2 linked regions of the Callithrix jacchus genome follow. Each later gene encodes a partner of the first gene's protein in a complex. Links are inferred from orthologs where the notes say so. Each region holds a gene or a part of one and is shown on either strand. Other genes may lie near its edges. The genes, in order: PIGP and PIGY.

The links.
Region 2: PIGP (region 1) and PIGY share a complex: the UniProt entries of both Homo sapiens proteins name them as parts of the glycosylphosphatidylinositol-N-acetylglucosaminyltransferase (GPI-GnT) complex. The link is inferred for Callithrix jacchus from reciprocal best matches to the Homo sapiens genes PIGP and PIGY.

The regions. Positions count from the first base shown.
Region 1 is NC_133522.1:43,067,206-43,071,654, reverse strand, and holds the start of PIGP (phosphatidylinositol N-acetylglucosaminyltransferase subunit P), read left to right. Parts: upstream 1-1,376; 5' UTR 1,377-1,584; intron 1,585-1,993; 5' UTR 1,994-2,015; coding exon 2,016-2,097; intron 2,098-2,992; coding exon 2,993-3,037; intron 3,038-4,449. UniProt on the Homo sapiens protein: Part of the glycosylphosphatidylinositol-N-acetylglucosaminyltransferase (GPI-GnT) complex that catalyzes the transfer of N-acetylglucosamine from UDP-N-acetylglucosamine to phosphatidylinositol and participates in the first step of GPI biosynthesis.
Region 2 is NC_133504.1:109,148,093-109,150,876, reverse strand, and holds PIGY (phosphatidylinositol N-acetylglucosaminyltransferase subunit Y), read right to left. Parts: upstream 1,253-2,784; 5' UTR 1,155-1,252; coding exon 939-1,154; 3' UTR 691-938; downstream 1-690. Other genes in the region: PYURF (protein preY, mitochondrial), read right to left, coding at 1,253-1,399. UniProt on the Homo sapiens protein: Part of the glycosylphosphatidylinositol-N-acetylglucosaminyltransferase (GPI-GnT) complex that catalyzes the transfer of N-acetylglucosamine from UDP-N-acetylglucosamine to phosphatidylinositol and participates in the first step of GPI biosynthesis.

The sequences.
Region 1 (4,449 bases):
ATTGGGCAAAACAGAAAGAGATTTAGGTGAATACCATAAAATACTCCATGAACCATTAGATATCATCAAGAACGCCCAAGGATGGCATAGCCCGGTAGGCGTGTGCATATATTTTGAAAGGCCTGTGCAACTGAGAGGCTTTTGGCGTCCAGGGCGCCTCTGGAAAAGGCATGACGCACTGGTACCAACCCAAATTCGCCTACGTCTCAGCTCCATTTTTTATCTTTGATCAGCTTATTCTGTCCTCTGAACAGGCCACACTGACAGCGTCAACACTGCGGAGCAGGGGGCCAGACTCGATCTTGTCCTCCCCCTGCCCGTTAGCGTCTGTCGGGGGAGGATACTCAAAGAGGCGCGGGGGCGAGGGGAGCGCCGGGGTTACCCCCCCCCGCGTCCGTTCCGTGGGAACAGGCCCTGAACTGGACTGCCAGTTCCCACGAAAACAGGTGGCAACAAAGTGGTGAACACACGCACACAGAGCAAGGGGTGCGCATGAACGTTCACGAACACGCACCAGCGAAACCTGCACACAAAAGATACGCACTCGACAGGACTAAACGCGCACACAAGAGATCACGCACTCGACAGGACCCATGCGCAGACACTCTGGGGACACTCGGGGACACGCACCTCGCGCAAGCGAGGCTCTAGGCGGGGGTCGCGATCGCAGGAGGCGCGGCCACGCGCGCTGGGGGACGCGCAGCCCACAGACCAGAGCAGTGACACAAAGGGGGGCCCCCCGCAGAGGCCGAGAGCGCCTACGCAGCCGCCAGGGAGCACGGACACCGACACAAAGGGGGCCACATGGCGACACGCGAGCGTGGGCCCCTGCACCCATAGGGGATGTCAGCCACGCACCGGCCGACGCACGGGCAGGGGAGATGCGCACAAAGGGAGTACTCCCACCCTCGCCCTGGCATCGCAGGGCCTCGCTCGCGAAGGGGGCACCAGACCAAGGGGAAAAACCCACTGGGGCAGGCAATGGCGGCCACACCCCCTCATCTCGCGGGACCCCAGCCCACGCAAACACAGCAGGCACGGCAGCGAGGGACGCGGGGCGACGCGCACACACCCACACTCACCACACACCCACAGAGGGGGTGTGGAAGACCCCGCTCCCCCGGCATCTCGGCTGCAGCAGGACAAGTTGACACATCCGGGAGCCCTGCCGCACGCTGGATGTGCACTCACCGGGGCCCGCCGCCCGCGAGCCTCGACGCGGGCCGGCGCCACCGCCGCAGCCGCCGCCGCCGCCGCCACCTCCGGCCCTCCAAGTCAGCTGACAGCTGGAGGGAGCGAGCGGAGGCGCTAAAGGCAGGTGCGTCACGTGGGCTAGCAGCGCGCAGGCGCAGTAGCGCTGCACCGCCCCCTCCTTCGTCGCCGCGAGCCAAACGGATCCCGCGGGCCCCCGCGCTCTCTGGCTCCTACCCGAGGAGGGTCGTCGTGCGCCTGCGCCAGGGTGGGAGCGCCGTCGCTAGGCCTTTCACTCAGTTTTTTGTCTTTCCGCCCCCACTGCGGCTACCAAGTCGGCGCCTGCGCAGAGATCTCAGCGCTGAGGCGGCAGAGGTGTCGGGCGGGGCCTGGGTGGGCGTATGAAAGACCCCAGGTCGAGGCCCCCGGTATATCCCAGCTCGAAAGAGAAACAGAAGCCCCCATGAGTGGACAGGGCCCGGGGCCTGGGTGCCGTGACCTAGTAGGCCCGCGTGCTCGTGGGCGCCGCGGGAGCGTTGTTCTCCGCTCTCCCCTCCCTTCCCGCGGGAAGGCCACGCTCGCAGAGCTGGAGCGCGCGTCTATTATCCCATTCCCCTCTCCCTGCCCTATCCCGCGCCGCCCCTTCTGCGGGGCACGCGCCAGCCTGGGTCCCTGTGTGCGCGCGAGGTGGGGGCGCGGGTTGCGGGCGGGCACCGTCCCCGCTGCGAAGCGCTGGGGCGAGATTGGCCCACTGGTGCGGAGGAGCACGTCGCTGACGGCTAACTGTGTTCCTTTTCCGCAGATTGTCTAAAGCCCTAGGAAAAATGGTGGAAAATTCACCGTCGCCATTGCCAGAAAGAGCGATTTATGGCTTTGTTCTTTTCTTAGGCTCCCAATTTGTCTTCAGTAAGTACTTTCCCGATGGATGGCCAGGGGCTTTTTCTGGCATTCAGTGACAAGGGAAGAATGCATTGGTTAGACTGTGCACACACCAACTGTTGATTCTTTCTCCCTATGTCTCTTTTTAAGAAAATCAGAAGGGAGCTCGTGTTTGTTGAGTGTTGTACGCCAGCACTAGCCTAGGTGGTTTTAGTCTCTACAAATATTTATACAGCACCAGACACGATGGCAGAGTGAATAAAGCCTGGTCCCTGCCCTGAAGGAGGTAGTGGTCTTGTGGAGGAGACAGATAAGTAAATCTACAGTTAATGCTCAGTGTGACGAGTGTCAGGGGAGCACAGCGGAGAGACATTGAAACCAGACTGGAAAGTCAAGGCTTTCATCCCCCCACCCCCACCCAGACACTGATGCTGAGTAGGAGGGAGGGGAGAAGTGGAAAGGCTGTGAGAGGATTTGGACATGAGGACCTTGATACGGCTCCAGTGTGCCCTGTGGGATCTGAGGAACAAGAGGTGTAGGCCAGAGAAGTTCGGTTGAAAGGTGGATTCTTTGCATCCTGCATCTCCCTTAATCCCCATAACTGTCCATTTAGGGATAAGGAGGGTGACGCTCACTGAGACACTAATATGCCCAGTCACACAAGTGAGTAAGCAAGCCCCAAGTCTCTCCCCAAAAGGATTTGGGAATTATGAGGCACGCAAGAGAGAGGAAATTGAGTGTCCCTGAGCCAACGTTCTGGAACTCTTTGGAAACCAGGAAAGTAGAAGAGGGGTAGTACTTCTGAACCCTAACTGAACTATGTCAGCCTGTACCATCGGTACAACTTGCCGACAATGAAATGGCCAGGCTGTTAGAACTGAAGTGAAAAAGTTACAGCTGAGTTCAAATTCTGACTCCACAGGTGAGCCATGTGAGCTGGCAGCCTCAGGTTCCCTACCTGTAAAAGGTAATGATAATTATGGTTCTTAAATGCTTATGACGCATGAAACAACCCTATGGGGGAGTTTCTGTTGTTATTGTCCTCACTTTAGAGATGAACATACTGGGTTTCAGTAATTTGCCCTAGGTTGCAAAGCTGCTAAATGATAAGCCTCTAAATTTGAACCCAAATACACTGGCTGACTTCACTCTGCTCCCTCTTCTGACTGTTGCTAGGATTAGCGGGTAATTTATGTAAAACACGTAAAACAATGCCTAGAAACAGTTACGTGCTAATAAATGTTAGCTACTCATGTTATTGTTAGCACTTTTGTAAATCCTTGTTTAAAGAGAGTCTCAAAGATTAGAAGCTATATGAGTAAATAAAAGCAATCACTTTAAGACTTAAATTCTGGCCGGGTACAGTGGCTCACGCATGTAATCCCAGCACTTTGGGAGGCTGAGGCCGGCCGGTTACCTGAGGTCAGGAGTTCGAGACCATCCTGACCAACATGGAGAAACCCCGTCTCTACTAAAGTAGCAAAATTAGCCAGGTGTGCTGGCACGTGCCTGTAGTCCCGGCTATTTGGGAGGCTGAGACAGGAGAATTGCTTGAACCTGGGAGGTGGAGGTTGTGGTGAGCCGAGATCTCACCATTGCATTCCACCCTGGGCAACAAGAGTGAAACTTCATCTCAAAAAAAAAAAAAAAAAGACTTAAATTTCATGATATCCACAACCAAAAATTAACTCAAGTATTTATTGAGTGCTTACCATGTGCCAGGCACTGTTACAGGCCAGGAAGGACCAAAACAGTCCAAAATGCCCTGCTTTCATAGAGTCTTTATTCTAACGTTGTGGGGAGGTAGTCAATGGACGAATTAAATAAGAAAAACATACACAGTATCAGGTGCTCACATGTACTGTGGGGAGAAATTAAACAAGGGCAGGAGGACACTGAGTGGAAGGAGGTCCTTCTAATGTGCTTCTGTGTCATCTTTTGCTATTCATGAGCACTCATCACAATGTAGTGAAAATACCAATTTACTCTTGATTCACTACTAGACTTTGAGTTTAGGGAGCCCAGAAGCCACCTGTTTTTGATTCAGTATTGTGCCTCACACTCCTGACATACAGAATTCTGTAATACATATTTGTTAAGAAAAGAATGCATCATCACTGATGTAATAGGTAGGTAAAATTTTTCTCGGCCACTTACCTTGGGTAGGTGATGTATCCTTTCTAAGCTTCCATTTCCTCATCAGTTAAAATTGCATACTTGCCTCGGAGGATTGTCTTGGAGGATTATCTTAAATAATGTGTACAGAATACTTGGAACTGTGCTTAACCTACAGTGAGCTCTCAGAACTTAGCCGTTGTTATGGTGGGACAACAGTAATGGGTGCCACAGAGATTTGGGATTGAGGGAAATAAGATTGTA
Region 2 (2,784 bases), on another chromosome or scaffold:
TTTAGGTTTCTTTGGGTTAACTACTGAAACACTTACACTATACTTTAAAAGTATTGTTCAATGCTCCATGAGTCTTGTTGAAAGTTCTGGAAAATCAGGAGCTATTCATGTGTTGATGCTCATGCCCGTTGTAGTGTTATTCAGTCTCCTGGGAAAATAAACTGAAATGTGGCTCAAAATGTGGCTGTAAGCTCAAAAGGGTACAAACTACTACTTGCAAGTCTTCGACCCCTCACTTTCCTGGGAAATGATTCTAGAGAGGAAGTACCTCTCTAAACACAGCCTATGTTTAGTGCAGTTTTACAACTTCCCTTTGTATCAATCACACTTCTGTGACCAAACAAATGACTACTGCAAACTGGTTTATTTCATCTTTTATGGTAAAGTGTCAACATCTTTATTGCTAATATAAGCAGTTAATGTCAAAGAAATGAAGGTAATTTTACAAACTTAATTTCTGTTAAGTACCTGAAATTTCTATTTGATGATATGGTTTTATATCACACTTGTTCAAATGCATTTGTCTCCCTTAGAGAGAGTATTTCAACATCACTCCTTTAGAATTATTTCAGTCATTCCTAACATGTGACTTTACCAAAGACCTTAAACTTAACAAACAAGCAAAACAAAATTTCAATAACTTTTAGATGAACAGAATAAGAAATACTCATGACATGACAATTGGGGATGTTCATCTCCAACAAGACACTGTCAAAATGTTTTCTCTGATACAGCAGTTATAAGTCAGAGCCTGCAAAACACAAGGGCAGAGCAAGAGTACAACAAAAGAAGCATCTGCAACTTAAGTCTCCCACAGTCCTAAGCCTGATATACACAAAGCAAAGCCTCTTTCCTGCAAACTTCCATCCAGTTGAGCTTTCAGAGATAGATGCCCAAGAGCTATTATTAATAAATATAGCATATTGACACTAGTTACATCAATTATGCCTGAAGAGTTTAATACCCATCCAAGTCCAAAGGTGGAAGAATACATACACTGGTATGGAAATAGGCAAGAGCAAACTGTAAAAGCAAAGGCTGGCTGTGCTAGTGCAGCCCTGTGGGAAGTTTTCTTCCACAGAGGCCGAGTAGAACAGTCCTGCTAAAGAAACCAGTGGAATAAGAACAGTCAACGTAGGAAGAGACATAAACATTCTTCTCTTCCAATTATTACCCTCCACTATGTTTTAAAAGGTATACGGTATTAAGAAAAGTCAGCTGTTGGGTTTTTTTTATTTTTTTTAATTATGAACTAGCGCTGCTCCAGTTCTTCTTGCTTCTTACTTTGATGCGTCATCCTAGCTGCCTGCGGTATCATATTAGGAATCCCATCAATGATTGGATAAGCTATTCCCAATTCTTCATTAATCAATTCATTTGTTGATGCTTCATATCTGAGGTTGAAAAAAAAAAAGAACAAAATGAATTGTGAAAAATAAAATGCTTGAAGAGCCTGATTTTCAACAAATACCACCATTTATCCAATTCTCGGTATAGAGTTAGTTAATCCCAGAGTAGTCTTCTTCAATTCTAAAAGCAACAATAGCCAATTCAACCTTTTATCTTAAAAAAAATTCTCTTAGAATCTATAATTATTCCCATTTTAGTCGGTTTCTCTCATATTCTCTTTTTCGCCTTATTCACAAGTTATTCCTTAATTTCGTTTTTATAGTAGTCAGAAAAGATCCCCCTCTTACCCAAATATTCCTTCACTACTTCGGTCAACCCTCAAACCATCTCTGTAAATTTACTACTGGAACAAACACTAGAGAAAAATCAACTTCTTCATTTTAGAATAAATGCTAAATAGAGAAACTTAACTAATCCATTAGAAGGAAATAACTGGAAAAGGTGAGAGGGCAGAAATGAGAAAACACTGGAAAGCAGTGAGTCTGCGGTGAGCTAGTTATAAAGGCAAATCAAGTAATTTCAAGGTTTGAGAAAATTGAATAATATTATGGGAAAAAAAGAAATATGAAAAAACTGCTAGCAATCTACCATTCAAAGATAGTCCCTGATAACATTTTGGTGTTTAGTTTATGCGATTTGTAATACTAGTGTTAATGTTGTTGATATTCAATTCTGGTAGCTTGGAAACTGTAGAGCTGTTTTCCCAAAAACTAGGTTAAAGAGGTTTCTACGAAACCTGCTAGTCCACAACTAAGAGCCACTGGGCAGCACACACAGGTGAAATGCTTAAGATTGTCAGGCACCAGTTGTACACGACACCTTCACAAGAATCTGGAGGGTACAACAATACTTTTCATCATCTTGGCTTAAAAACCAGAAGGCTTTGGCCTTGTCCTGAATCGCAGTGGTTCATAAACCTGGTTATACCTTAGAAATCATTTCGGGGTCGTTTAAGAACACACAAATAAGCTGGGAGTGGGGGCGGCGCCTGTATCCCCCAGCTCCTTAGGAGGCTGAAGCCGGAGTTCTAGGCCAGCCTGGGCAACGTAAGGAGCACCCTGTCTCTTAACAGGAAAAAAGAAAAAAAAAAAAATACAAATGTTCAGGTCTCATCCCTCGGACATTCCGAGTCTGCTGGTCTTGGGGGCTGTCGGGGAATCGGCATTTTTAAAACGGTCCCCGGGTGATTGCATTGCGCAGCCGGTGGCGAACCTAAAACGCTTCAAGCCATTCCCGTAGTCTGGCGATGTGGTCGGGCAGATGTGGGACGCGGCTCCCCTGGCCTCCGGTCTCCCGGTCCTGCGGGGCCAGAGTCCAGAAAATGGCAGCGGAGAGTACCTGCCTGACCTACAAGGCCCCAGTGGCTGCGGGAGG